Neurospora crassa OR74A: one gene and its partners. The protein of the gene in region 1 interacts with the protein of each later gene in a biochemical or structural test. Links are inferred from orthologs where the notes say so. Each region holds a gene or a part of one and is shown on either strand. Other genes may lie near its edges. The genes, in order: rho-1, amyc and pkc.

Region 1 (4,796 bases):
TGGGGGTCCATCCGTCTTATGCTTCCCTTACGGATGGATGGCAAGACTGGAGTAGAGTAGAATGGAGTCTTTCTTGTGTGGGATGTACATACTTCTGATCTTTTTTTTTTCTTGTTCGCTCCCAAATATCAAAGTATCAAGAAGACAAGACAAGACAAGACAACAAGCAGACTTCTGTCCTGGGAGGAAGGGGAGGGGAGGAGAAGGAGAAGGAGAAGGAGAAGGAGAAAGCGAGCGACGGACTTTTGTCTACGTCGTTCGGTTGGTTGGTTGGTTGGTTGGTTGACTTGACTAGAGGTACCAAACCTTACCTTGCCTCCTACCCAGAGCTAGAGCTAGATACCTGAATGAATATTTACCTCCTGCGTCGAGTAGGTTATCAAGGAACTGAAGAACTGAAAGGAATTGACAGCGGGGAGCGTATATATATTTATATATATTCTTTTGAAAGTGTTATGTTTACCGCTTCTTTCCCCCCTCTGTTGGCTATGATGAAGAAGTCCCAGAGAGTGTTCGAGATGCAAAGTGTATAATGTATGGCACATCATAGCTTACTTGCAAGTGTTAGCTTCGTTGGCTGTCAAGACCAATCATGCCTTTCTGGCATACCTCACGCGCTGAGTGTGATGACTCGGGAACATTAACTAGGTTTACCCTTGATAGACATGACGTCCTTCATTCAATCAACTGTTTCACGTTTGGGTCTGGAGCTGGCGGCGGCCTCTCCCGTCGGATTGCATAGTCGGCAAAGCGTGATGATTACTGAACTTCGGATTCAAAGACTAAGTAGACAAACGGGCTGACTGACGTAGAAGAAGTCTGTGCTCGTGTCAGTGGTTGACATGAGTATTGCAAGAGGGGACGGGCAATGAATGGTCTGAGGATGTACAGTAGGTAACAGCAATTGTCGTCAACGGTCTATGGAAGTAGCAGGGACATTCGGCGGCCTCGCCATGCCGATCGCCCAAACTATACGGAACATTCAATCTCAAAATCCCAATTTGAACCATGCAGCGGCAGCAGCAGACGGAGACAGATAAACAAGAACGCGATAAAACTAGAGATTAATAACAGACAGGTAGACACAGAGAGAGAGATAAGAGACAGACGCACACGGGCAGTGACAGAGAAAGAGAAATAAAGGAGACAGGTAAGGGGGGCCAGAGACGCGGCATGTGATTCCAGAAGAAACAAGAAATATTGAACCGCAAAACTCCTTTCTCCAGTCTTTCTCTTTCCCTTTACCGCCCTCAGGTGTCCTCCGTTTGTGTATACATGAACACAAGCCACGCACCCGTCCACGCCGACCACACACACACACAGAAATAGTGGAAAGGAGTCCAGACCCAGTTATCCTCCCTAAATATCGAGTAGTAAGGCCCATAAGTATCCCCGAAATCCCAAGCCCCTCCCCATTTGCGCTCTCCACACCCCTTTCTTCTTCTCTCTGTGAAATATTATCCGCTCGGTAGCAGCATTGACGGCGTCATGGGCAGAGAATTATCAACTAAGGTGATGATCATCTTTCGCTTTGAAAACCGTTGCTTGATTACATGTTGCGAGGCTATCCGGGGAGGGCTTGGTGCAGATGATGTTGTTCGTCGTGCGGTAGAAATAAAAGCATCTCTCTAAAGAGCTGTGGGTTTGTTTAGACCGAGCTCTTGCAGAGGCCCCTCTTCGTCTTTGTCTTCTTGAGAAGGGCGGCTCTTGTCGCGTTCTCGAACACCTCACGGACACCCTCGTTGGTCTTGGCCGAGCACTCGAGGTACTTGTGGGCGTTGATCCTCTTCCTCAGAGCCTCACCCTGTTGATGAGCGCGTTAGCATACATTCCCGAGCAAGCGGAGGGAAAGCACTTGGAAACAAAAGGGGCATCATCAGCCGCCAATGTCTCAGCCTCACGTACCTCTTCGGGGGAAACGGGCTTCTGGCTGGTCTTGCGGAGCTCCTCAATGGTCTTGGGGTCGTGGCGCAAATCCTTCTTGCAGCCAACGAGGATGATTGGAACGTCACGGCAGAAGTGAAGAACCTCAGAGTGCCACTGTTTTTGATTGTTAGCGAATTGTAGCCTCAAAGACAAGGGCGCGCCAAGTAAGCAGGCGGGATACTGACCTTCTCGGAAACGTTGTCGAGCGAATCGGGAGAGTCGATGGCGAAGCAGATCAAGACGACGTGAGAGTCGGGGTAGGACAGGGGACGGAGACGGTCATAATCCTCCTGACCAGCCGTATCCCATAGCGCGAGCTCGACGTGTCTGCCATCAACCTCGACATCGGCGACGTAGTTCTCGAAAACGGTAGGGACGTAGACCTGGGCGCAGAGAGTTAGCTGGCTGAGCAGCGCTTATTCGGATGCGGATATGATGGCGACAGGGCGGGTGTTTCGAATTTGATGGCTTGATGGTTCATCGGGCTGAGGAGATGGATGTAGCCTGTTCGGGGGGGGAGGCGAGACGCGGGAATTGGCAGGAAGATGCGTGTTTCGTCAGGCGGTTGGGGCGGTGTAGCGAACAGACGGTCGAGGGCAGGTGTGTAGATGGACGTCTCAGTCCCGACAGACAAGTGCCTGACTTACCTCGGGGAAGGTTCCCTTGGAGAAGACGCTGGAAATTCGGTTAGCAAAAAGGTTGTGATGGGGGGAGAGCGGCGGTGACGACGACGACGACGACAACGACGACGACGCGCGCCTTATAAGAGCAGCATCAATCTCTTGGATGTGGATAGGGGAAATGGACATACATCAACAAACAGGTCTTGCCGCAGGCACCATCGCCAACGATGACGAGCTTTCGGCGGAGTTCAGCAGACATGGCGTCGGTTTGGTGGTTGTGTGAATAGGGGAGGAGAGATTAAGTTGTTTAGTTGAGTTGAGTGATGTCGACGGACGGTGCTTTGTTCGTTGTCGACGGGTTGTATGCAAAGGACGGGAGAGGGTATCACGCGGCCTGGATTTGGTCGATAAAAGATGCAAAATGGAAAAGGGAAGGAAAATGGAGATGGGGGTGTTGGGTGGTTGTTGAAGGATGGACGGTGGTGGTGGTAGGTAGGTAGGTAGTGGCCGCTGGTGGTGTGCTAACCTGTTCAAGTTGTGAGTTGTGTTGTGACGGAGACGGAGACGGGGAACGGGGACGGGGGGACCACCAGATAGCCAGGTGCAGGACTCCCACGGGCAAGGTTGGAAGAGGGTGGAAACCTTAGCCAGCGAACCAGGGCCGGGCAGTCAGACTGGGCTGGGAGGGCAGTGGGTGCTGCCGTGTGTGGTGAGGTGAGCGAGGCAGTGGGTAGCCCCAGAGAAGCCCCAGGGAACGGGCGGGCTGTCCAGGCACAGGCAGTCACTCAGTCGGGTTCACACAGTCCCATCTGGCAGCAGTCGCAGCCTGGAGGCTACAGGTACTGTGTGGTAAGAGGAAGGCAGACGACACCTACCGACCTAATTTTTCATCCAACACACTAGGTCCCTACCTAGATACTGCATTTTGTGTCGGAATACCCCATCACTTGTACAGGAGCCGGTAGGGGTGCGAGACGAGCCAAGAGCAAAGGGCCAGACAAGGGAGGTGCTGGCTTGATGTGACTTGTGAGTGGCCCGAATCCTCAGCAAGCGGTACGTACCGGTCCTCTTCTACAATTAACACCGTCACCTCCATTACCGTAATTCAGCTATTTGCACGCGAAAAGAGAGCTGATTTTGGTGATATTAATAGTGGACCGACCTTGAAATCGTCGTCGTCATGTTCCTTCCTGTTCCCCTTTTTCGCTACCCCGGACTTGCTGCATAAGGCTAATAAGGCCATCTCCCGAACATGACTCTCGACCTTTTTTTTTTTTTTTGTTTCTTCAACTTTGATGACAAGCGCAAAAGTGCACGGTGGGGACGGGCCAAATTACCACTCGAACCACTTTTAGACATCCATACCGCAGTAATCCGACACCCGACACGCTGCGCTGGCTCGGCTGGCTGTCGATCAAAGGGGGAAAGCACGCGCTGCTGCCGTGGCCCCCCAGGATTTTAGTAGTGTACTCAGAGGAAGTGGAAGCTTTGCGAGCGAGCGAAGGCAGGCGAGGCGAGTCTCCAGCAGCAAAGATGGTCCAGTGGGCGGCGGCGATAACTGCTAATCTCCAGACTGCCTGCCCAGAACCCCTGAACCAACGCCAAAAGGTACAGGAACAGGCACAGTGCGCCATGGGCCTCTTCCTTCCGGTCGCCTATTTTGGGTGTCCCTAGTGTACACTACATAGGTAGTAATTTGCTGATAGCTCTGGGCTTTGTTCTCAGCCATCCATTATCAGGGTCCAGGACTCTCTTGACAGTCTAGTAGTGAACATGGAGGAAGGGGATGGGGTGGGAGGAAGGACGGGACATGATATTAAAAACATGGAAGCTCCTGTCTTGTTGGCATACGCAGTATGTACACCACACTATACCCCATTTCCTCTCGGCTGTCGATACACTACACAGTATATACCAAGAGACGGAGCGGTCAGCAAAGTGTCGGTGCCCAGCCGCATCTAGATAGCAGACCAGTCTCTTGAATTGCGAACATCTCGGTTGCCATGGCATTGACGTGAGCTTGTTGACTTGGTGGATGACGAAACGGGATAGGAGAGAGGGAGGCTGGAGAAGGAAGCGTCAGCTGCCACCCGTCATCCGTCAGCCGTCAACAGTCAGTCAGTCAGTCAGCCACGGTGTTAGATGCCAAATTACAAGTCCTACCACCCCCATGATGGTTCCCAAAGTCCTACCCGTCGGTTCACTCTGGTCCCCTCCATTGTCCAACGAAGTGAATTGTCCGGGGCT
Region 2 (4,695 bases), on another chromosome or scaffold:
TTTCCTAAAGCTTGAGGAGAGGTGCTTATCCAAGCGAGTGCTCTTCAGCCTCTTGACATCATTAAGAGCGCTCTCATAGGACGATTCTCGATGATGTAGTGACTGATCGCCCCCGGGGAAACCTCTCTGTCTACCATCCATTAACGGACGGCCATCGCCTGCATCAATTCCATTGTGACCCCTTGCTTCAGCGGCGGACGGAAGCGCGCCGTGCATGCGTAGGATCTCCAATAACCTCGCCAATGCCACCTGGAGCAGGAACATATACTGCTGCAGCTTGGACACGCGTTCAAAGGGCGGTGCCTTATCCGAGCTGTACGTTTCGCAGTTGTTGCAAAAAATCTTGGAATCGTACAGGTTGAGTCGGGCATCTTGTAGACTCCGGCCGAGTTCTTTCTGGCAACGTGAGCAGTTGACACACGTGATATGCCACCTCTTGTCGCCGCTCTTTGCACACTCGTCCTCAATGGGCTTTTTGCAGAGGGTACACGAGTCCGAGTCCGAGGCCGAGAGGCGAGCCATGCCGGACGTTAGCTGCAGCGTCGTCGTCGAGTTATCTTCGGTCTTTAGCGCCTCAAGATCATTGAGCTCATCCAGAAACCCATCGAGACCATCGGCGGTGTCGCGCTCCTTCTCGATCCGCAATGCCCCTTGTAAGCAGATTCGAATAAGGAGCTTCAGGTAATGGGCTAAACCAGTAACGAGTGTTAACAGTTCTTGGGTAACACCGAGCTTACGGGCACCCTTATCCTGTGTTTTAGAGAGTAGCGAAAAGAATGCTACGATCTTCTTGCACAGAAGCTTGGCTTCTCTTCCATACATTAGGCCTATAATTCATTAGCCACCATCATCATCAGCGTTTCGGGGATGCGCTCAAGCATCCTGGGGGATTTTCTCACCTGTCATATCTAGCCGTTCCATGGTAGCGTCAAGCCTATCCGCTGAGTGGAACAATATATCAACGTGCCATATGAACTTTTTAGCTACCATGACACCGTCGACATATGCTCCATTGCTCACGTGGAGAAGCATATCGGATATGCAAGCCGCCGACGACTCTTCGAAAGTCGAAAGCACACTCCAAATACGGTAGACCTTCTCCTCCATGCGTTCCTCTTCGTCCCGAACTAGTTCACGGCCAGCAGGGTCATCTGGCACCGGCCCGAGAGCTTTCTGTGGGGGATTTAACCTGACGTTCCAGAACTTGTGAATCATGTAGCATTCCGGATGCCAGTGTTGATTTTGACCGTTTCGGAATATCTCGACAAACTGCTTGAGGATGGCAGTCTGGCAGCCACTGCAACGTTGGGCGTACTGTGTCGAATAGTGGTAATGGCAGTAAACATGTCCATCATGCTCGTAGTAGCTATCCTGAGCGCCAAAGACAGTCGGGCAAAGCGAGCAGGTAAAGTGGTCGACGTGGTATTTGCGATCGAGGGCCGTGATGTAAGAGCCCCGAAGAGCACCGCCACACTGGTAACACAGCAGGCCTAACCTGCGAAAGTAATCCGTCTCGCAGAGCGGATACTGACCCTCGCCGTTGTTGTCGTCGGCTGGGAAGAACTTGGAAGCCACAATTTGACCGCAGTCCTGCACATGAGCTGGTTAGCCACAAAGTCCACAACGGGCGGCTGAAACAGGCACTCACGCGACACTTGAAGCAATCCAAATGAAAGGTCCCATCGAGTGCGCGAACAAACTGGCCCGTCAAAGGTTCACCACATTTCTTGCACACTCGCACTTGTCCGCTAGCTGTCCTCGACCCCTTTGGCTTCGACCGGTTCTTCTCCCCACTGCGTCTTGATTCGAGATCTGTAGCATCGGCGGCGCTCAGCGCAGGCGATCCTGGAATGCGAGTCAAGTGGGCATTTGTAGGGGCGCCGTTTTGTGATATCGTTGGTGTGATATCAAGATGCTCGTCCTCTCGCCGATGCGCAACTTCACCTTGTGGGTGCCCCTGGGGATGTCCATGGGTGTATTCGCGGTCGCCTACGGGGCCGCCGCCGTAGTCTGAGCTGGCCATCTCGATGTCGGTCTTGGACCCTTGATGTAGTTCGAAACCCCAAGCTCTTAAAATGTTTCAATGTATTTTCCAAAGAGGGGCGAGCAGCGATCGCGAACGCGGCGGATTATGGATGTAGGTTGGCAGACAAAGGCGCGTACGTCCACATCAAGCGGGGGCTCAAGCCGAGTTGGTCGAGACGAAAGGGATACGGCAAACTAAATGCCAGATGTCGCAAAACGACACCGCAACAGCCGCAGTCGAGGGTTTGCCAGTCGGTCTATAGTCGTGCGCGTAACTGCCTAGCGCGCTGTTCTGGCGAGCCCGACAGTTAGGGGTTAGTTGCGACTGGAGGGATGAAGGGCTTTGGTGTTGGCCGCCTCGATGGAGACACGGCGTGGATGGTTGTTGTCGACGTGAACTCAATGGTGTCGAGAGGTAGAAGGGGATAGTAGTTTGATGACCCGGGCCGGTGTAGCGGACAGGGGCTTGGAAAGCGTTCGTGGTCGTTGATTATGAACTCGGGCGCCGGCCCAGTGTGTTCAGTCAGGCCTGGGCAAGCAAGGATCGGGCAATCGTCAGTCGGTCGGGAAAAGGGCGTCGACGGCCACGGGGTGAAGATGGATATATGGGGTCGAGCTGGTCGAACTCGAATCACGATCACGGCGCGCTGAGTGCAGTCGGCGCCAATCAGTCGGCGGCGGTGGTATAAGCGGTGGACGGTGACCGTATCGGTGGACAAGTGGACGTAACGGTGGACGGGGGACGGGATTGCGATGGCTGGCGAGACGGGACGCCCGACTGAGTGCCTCTCTGCTGCTGCTGCTGCTTGTACACGAAGTGTATCGAGATGTCGGGGCGCTAAGGTCGGGGTTTGGCGAGGCGGCGGCCACAAGGGCGTGGAGGTGGCCGGGGGGAGGACGGTCGATTGGTAGCACTGGAGAAGGGAACCTGGGCTTGCGGTCGGGCGTGGTGTCGCCTGTACTTGGGCGGTCATAGAGGTAGTCCGCGGTGGAAGTGCGGTCGGGTGTTAGTCCAAACCTCAAGACCTAGAGGTCACGGTACCTACCTACTAGTACCTCTACTGACCACCTCACGCAGTCCCGTCGGTGCCAGCGGCCCGGTGCGTCGGGTACCTGGAGGTAGGTACAGTACATACACCTCTAGGTACCTAAGTAGGCTGCAGGTGTCCCTGGGTGTTTTGCTGCATTGAGGTTGTGGATTTCCTTGTAAGTTTGGGCCACCACCTCAGGGCGAGATTCCAGCGGATCTGTCCCTGCACTTTTAGTCAGGTACCTCCAGCAACAACCTACCTACTTGAACCTAACGGACGGGAACAATGACTTCGGAGCAGCAACAGCAACAGCACCAGCAACAGCGATCTACGGGCCCCGCCACAACGGCGGAGTGCAATTTCCAGGCCTGCCTCTAAAAACGAGGTGGAATAGGACCAGCCTGGTAGCATTTCCATCCGACTTTCCTACCTACCTACCTAGGTACCTTTGGTCTAACATCAGGCCTGGGCTACCCGGCAACGTGAATCAAAATAATAATAAAATAATGACAACTACCAGGGCGGGCGCCTGCAGAGAAGGATATAAGAAGATGACACAAAAACAGGCAGCGGAGATCCCTCTTACGGTGCGTCGAGGGCGAGCAGACAGGCATTTAGTAGTGTAGAGACGGGATGTTAATCCTCGATCTGTGCGTGTGGCCCTGTGGACGGAACAGCCCGACACGAGCTACTACTCCGACTAGGTACTGCGAACGGAAGGGGGCCAGCCGCGGTTTGCATGCAAATAACACGTGTGCCCTGTCACTTGGATGTTTGGGAAACCTCGTCAGGAACGAGGGGCGGGAAGGGGAAGTCGTATACAGCAGCATCCACATGGGATGATGGGAGGTAACACAGCATTACCCAGGCACGGGGGATGACATCCATTCATGTACATCCAAAGAAAAACGAGAATGAAAAATAAAACATGACAAAAAGCTCTAAACATGGTCACCCCCCTATCAATATATCGAAGAGGCGCCTACCTCTTCCAAGCAAAGCTCGGCGTATCTCGAGGTCCCTGACTGTTGTACTGCCAGCCTGCTTCGCAGCATCATCTTTCTGCATGCTTGATATTTTTGTCATGTTCGAGGTGAGGAAGATGATGGACAGCGCGCGGCTGAGATGACTGGGAAGTGAGGGTCTTGGATGTCAACGACAAGTGGAGACCTTGCTCAGGCATGAGACCCGAGAGTGGAAAAAGAATATTGGGCAATATGAACCCCTTGAGGTTTCTGTTCACCTTCCACATGGAACCCCTCTTCATCAAGGTCTCAGCAATAAACATGATACATGGCCCCTACGTATATCAACGTCCTCACAAAACTTCTGGCTCGCCAGTAATCACATCATGCATTGCTCCGTGTTCCTAAATTCAACGTAAAAACCAAGAGTAGCCCGAGAGGTAGTTGATGGAAACAAAGAAACTGAAGTGTCCAATATCTTGTCCAGACCCACCAAGTACACATACAATCTCCACTGAATAGGCTCAACGATGGTGCCAAGAGTTCGGCCAAGACTTTGGGAACGACCCTGAAATCAAACAGCCTAAAAAGATCCCCCCTATCGCCAACCAAGCTGCCGAACCTAGCCAACTTCAACCGAAAATGAGACAATGCGGTGCTATACCGACAACAAT
Region 3 (4,505 bases), on another chromosome or scaffold:
CGAAGCTTCATTCACTACAAGTATCGAATCTCTACTGTGTCATTCGGGTAGGAAACCAGTCGAGTCTTGGGACGAAATCCAGCTTCTTCGGCTTGGACAATTTCCAGCTTATTTATCCCTAACCCGCAACCCATCACATCAGTGTAGTGTAGGTAGTATGCATCCTAAGACATGGATGGGCACACCGTGACCGCCTTTCCTGTCGAGACTCCAAATGGGGTTTGTCTCCTCTGTCTCAAGTCGCCGTCATCATTGCCTAAATACTTGCACATCAGGACTTTTCGGGCGATGGTGTTCTCAAAAGTCAGGCGGTTAACATGTGAGGTCTTTATACACAGACCAACCTTTGAGATTTGTTAGTGCGAAACTTACAACGTCTTCTGACAAGGCAGAAAGAGGACATGATTTTCAGGCGGTTCTATTGGTCCAAACCGAGCTAGAGTCAGGTTATGAACAACAATTGATGGTGTCCCATACATATGTCTCGCACCAAAATTTGACTGTACTTATAGCGAGCAATAAGCAGGATTGGCGCCTACCTCTAGCCATCTTGAAAGTGCCATGTTAACAAACTTTTCGAGGGTGAACTGTTGACAGCATGTTCCTTCACTAGGACGAGTGAAAGAAAGTCGACTGCGTGATCCAAGTCCCCAAAGTGTGATTCGGCATGCCCAATCACAGCCCTCCAAACTCAAGCGGTTCAAGGTGCGCCACCAACTGAACTCAAGTGCACGCACCCGTTTCGATACTGCGCCCACTGACACCCCTCGGTCTCCGGGCTTCCAATCCCATGTCCCAAGCCCAAGTGCGGAAGGGAAGTCCTACCAGCGCCCTGCACCACCATTTCAACAGTCCTACGGTTCGGTATCAGCGCACCAGGCAGACCAGGCCATCCACTCCCGTCGTGACGGTGTCGTATAGGTATCGATGTGTGGAGGTGCCCATCTTCTGTTCGGGTAGTCATTGCCTGTGGCTGCCCAACAGTCTGTCTGTGTGAGCTGTGCGTGATATGCAAACAAAAGGGTTCCATTCCAAGAGGGTCGCTGCTGTTAGTGTTGTTGACTGTTTGAAAATGCGCCGATTCGGAACCATCTGATGCCAAGACGAGGCTATCGTAGATTTTTGTTAGTTCCCAAGAACCACCCCCCTTTGGATGATGGGGTGGTAAAGAACACTGCATGGAATGGGCTCGTCGCGCCTAAATTCAAAGAACAAACGGGGACTGTTGGCCTCGAGATTTCCCGCTTAGTATGTGCGGTTCTCGTATATCCCTAGGTGTATTAGATTTCATTGTTCTCGTGATGATGGATATACTAAAGAATGAAAGACACCTAGCGGGCGAGGTACCTGACTGGGAACCGGAAGTCCAGTCGACAAATTGAAGTGTTGGACTTGGACCAAAACCACGCGATCCCCGCCTCTTCAAGGGGAAAAGTGGACGTTGCTAACAAGGAAGTGACCTGCCCGCCTTTGCCCCGAACTGCCTGTGCGTACTTCGACCGCTCAGCGTGCAGTACCAGGCATCGTCGTCTCTCGTCTGGATGCCCACTGGCTGTTTGGCTCGTCGAATCGACAAGGGCCGCCGCCGCCAAACCTATGCGAAACACACAAAACCCCGCCATCGTTAGCATCATACCTCTCTCTGCAGTACCTGCTAATCTGCTGCCACCTTGAGCCTTTCCATCTTGCACATTGAAGCCTCCTCGTTCAGTCCCGTCGAAAAAGGCAAAACCCGCCTTTTCTCTCTGTTAATGCTAATTGCTGCCCCGCCGCCACTATCTCCTCCATTACCTACCTACCTACCTCTACCTACCCGACGTCTAGGTCCAGCAGCGTAGCACTCCAATCAGTGTCTGCCTTATAAAGTGTCCATAGCACCTAGAGGTACCCTCGACCTCCATCCATCCCTCCTGGCTGGACCTCCTTATCCGTCCTCGCTGCCAAGTTGCCTTCCTGGCTCGCCTCGCCTTCCACCCGGGAAGTGCTCAACTTGACCGTCCATCAACAACCACCACGACGCATCCGTTGCATGTCATACTGGCATGCCAGCAGCATTTTAGTCGTCCGGATCAAATCCCGTCGTCCTCCCTCTCTCCCTCCCCCCCCTCCCCCGCTCTCCCACTGCCGACACCGACTCCGACACCGTCACCGTCGGACATTAGTATTGCCAGGAGCATCTTTACCTTTCATCCTCTCCAAAGTAATCCATCTCCCACCGTCGCCATCGGTCCGCCGGGCCCAATACCGCCACCATGAACGACGAAGACAAGGTCCACGACATCTCCAAGAAGATCGAGCGCGAAAAGGCTCTGATCAATGCTGCGCAGGCCATGCGCCAGCAGACAAACAATGAGCAGGTCCGCTCCAAGCTCGACACCCAGATGCGCGAAGGGAGGAGGAATCTCGAGTTCTTCGAGGAGAAGCTGCGCGAACTGCAGATGAGGAGACTCGGCCATGGCGTCGACAACATGTCGCTTGGTGCCAGCCCAATGTCCGGCTCCCACCGACAGTCCGTTGATGACTTCGAGGGCTACGGCGCCCCCTCTCCTCCCCCCAAGGAGGACGTACGCGGCCACAGCTCTCACCAGAGTCAGGGCAGCGGTCCTCTGATGCCCGCCTCTGCTCCTTATCCCGGTGGTCCTCCTGACTCTAATGTTCCACGGGCGCGTCCTAATTATACAAGGCTCGGTAAGTTGGACATCTTCCTTGGACCAGTCCCCCTTTAGACATATTCTGTGTGACTGACGTTGAGGGAACTGCAGATCTAATCAAGTTCGATACCCCACATCTTGGACCTCGCATCCAGCTGATGTTGTCCCAAATCCAGTTCAAGCTCAACGTGGAAGAACAGTACCTAAAGGGCATTGAGAAGATGGTACAGCTCTATCAGATGGAAGGTGATAAGAAGAGCAAGCTTGACGCTGCCGCCAAGCGTGTCGAAAGTAAACAAAAGATTGTCCTCTTGAAGCAGGCACTCAAGAGATATGAAGAGTTGCACATCGACATTGATGTTGATGGTCCAGATGGTAGAATTCCTTCCCCCACATGCTGCTTTCACCAGCACTCCTTTTACTAACTTTGAATGTGACTATAGACGACAGCATCAACCTGCCAGCCCTTAGGAAACCCCTGAGCGGTACTCTTTCTATTCGCATTCTCGCTGTAAAGGATGTCGACCATGCGCCCCTCGGTCGTTTCGCTCGCTCCCCCGAAACATTCATCGCTGTTAAGGCCGAAGATATAGTTGTTGCGCGCACAAAGCCTTCGCGAAACGACAAGTGGGAAGCCGAATTCCACACTTTCCCGGTCGATAAGACGAACGAAATCGAGTTTACGGTTTATGATAAGCCCGCCGAGCATCCCGTGCCTATCGCCATGCTCTGGGTCAGAATCTCGGACATCGTCGAGGAACTTCGCCGAAAGAAGATCGAGGCCGAAATGACGTCCGCAGGTTGGGTTTCGGCGGACCGCGTTGGCTCCAGAGCTCCTCCGCCGCAATTCCCAATGGGCGCCCAGAGTCCTCAGTTTGCGGCACCGCCAACATCCCCTGGATCACAGGAGCAAAACACCATGATCCCACCCCAGGCGCCTCCGCCATCCCAAGTTGTTTCACAGCCTGTAGACGGTTGGTTCAACCTGGAGCCTTATGGCCAGATCCACCTCAGTTTTAACTTCATCAAGGGGGCTCGTCCTCAGGGCATGGACAGGCTGGGTCGCAAGGGTGCTGTCCGCCAGCGCAAGGAGGAAGTTCACGAGATGTATGGACACAAGTTTGTCCAGAAGCAGTTCTACAACATTATGCGCTGTGCGCTATGCGGCGATTTCCTCAAGTACTCCGCTGGTATGCAGTGCGAGGATTGCAAGTACACCTGCCACACCAAGTGCTACACCAGCGTTGTTACCAAGTGCATCAGCAAGAGTAATGCCGAGACTGATCCTGACGAGGAAAAGATCAATCACCGCATCCCCCATCGCTTCATTCCTTTCTCCAACCTTACTGCCAACTGGTGCTGCCACTGCGGTTACATGCTACCAATTGGATCCAAGAAGAACTCGAGGAAGTGTTCAGGTATGTCGAGTTCGCCCCTGTTTTGGAGCCCCATATGCTGACAATTATGACAGAATGTGCTCTTACAGCCCACGCGCAATGCGTGCATCTTGTTCCTGACTTCTGTGGCATGTCTATGGCTGTCGCCAACCAGATCTTGGAGGGTATGCGAACGCAGAAGAAGACTCATAAGGATAAGGCGTCCTCGATGAGTGAGCGTACCCTTAGGCCGGGGAGCAAAACTTCCATCTCGTCCGGGTCGATCGCTCAGGCATCGACGTATAGCGGTTCGACTGCTTATACGTCAATCGCTTCGCCCGAGGCAACTGAGGCTGCCAAGCTTATGTACAGCCAGACAACGCCCAGGCCAGGCGGCCCCGACAGGACCTCTACCAGCTCAACAACCGCCTCGGCGGCTGCGGCTGCGGCTATGGCACCAAAGCATAGCTCTCAGCCT

The links.
Region 2: the proteins of rho-1 (region 1) and amyc form a complex in vitro, tested with the Saccharomyces cerevisiae proteins (2 studies listed by BioGRID, with this or other methods). The link is inferred for Neurospora crassa OR74A from reciprocal best matches to the Saccharomyces cerevisiae genes RHO1 and LRG1.
Region 3: the proteins of rho-1 (region 1) and pkc form a complex in vitro, tested with the Saccharomyces cerevisiae proteins (4 studies listed by BioGRID). The link is inferred for Neurospora crassa OR74A from reciprocal best matches to the Saccharomyces cerevisiae genes RHO1 and PKC1.

What each region holds. Positions count from the first base shown.
Region 1 is NC_026502.1:3,340,674-3,345,469, reverse strand, and holds rho-1 (rho-type GTPase), read right to left. Parts: upstream 3,271-4,796; 5' UTR 2,809-3,270; coding exon 2,738-2,808; intron 2,602-2,737; coding exon 2,574-2,601; intron 2,310-2,573; coding exon 2,112-2,309; intron 2,041-2,111; coding exon 1,906-2,040; intron 1,805-1,905; coding exon 1,649-1,804; 3' UTR 770-1,648; downstream 1-769. UniProt on the Saccharomyces cerevisiae protein: Acts as a central regulator in the cell wall integrity signaling pathway, which is regulated by the cell cycle and in response to various types of cell wall stress.
Region 2 is NC_026501.1:3,211,867-3,216,561, forward strand, and holds the start of amyc (LIM and Rho-GAP domain-containing protein), read right to left. Parts: upstream 2,995-4,695; 5' UTR 2,024-2,994; coding exon 1,649-2,023; intron 1,591-1,648; coding exon 900-1,590; intron 828-899; coding exon 1-827. UniProt on the Saccharomyces cerevisiae protein: Acts in signal transduction. Activates CDC42, RHO1 and RHO2. Negatively regulates 1,3-beta-glucan synthesis. May be responsible for the down-regulation of CDC42 during mating.
Region 3 is NC_026504.1:1,589,199-1,593,703, forward strand, and holds the start of pkc (protein kinase C-like protein), read left to right. Parts: upstream 1-1,606; 5' UTR 1,607-2,252; coding exon 2,253-2,688; intron 2,689-2,762; coding exon 2,763-3,026; intron 3,027-3,094; coding exon 3,095-4,069; intron 4,070-4,122; coding exon 4,123-4,505. UniProt on the Saccharomyces cerevisiae protein: Required for cell growth and for the G2->M transition of the cell division cycle. Mediates a protein kinase cascade; it activates BCK1 which itself activates MKK1/MKK2.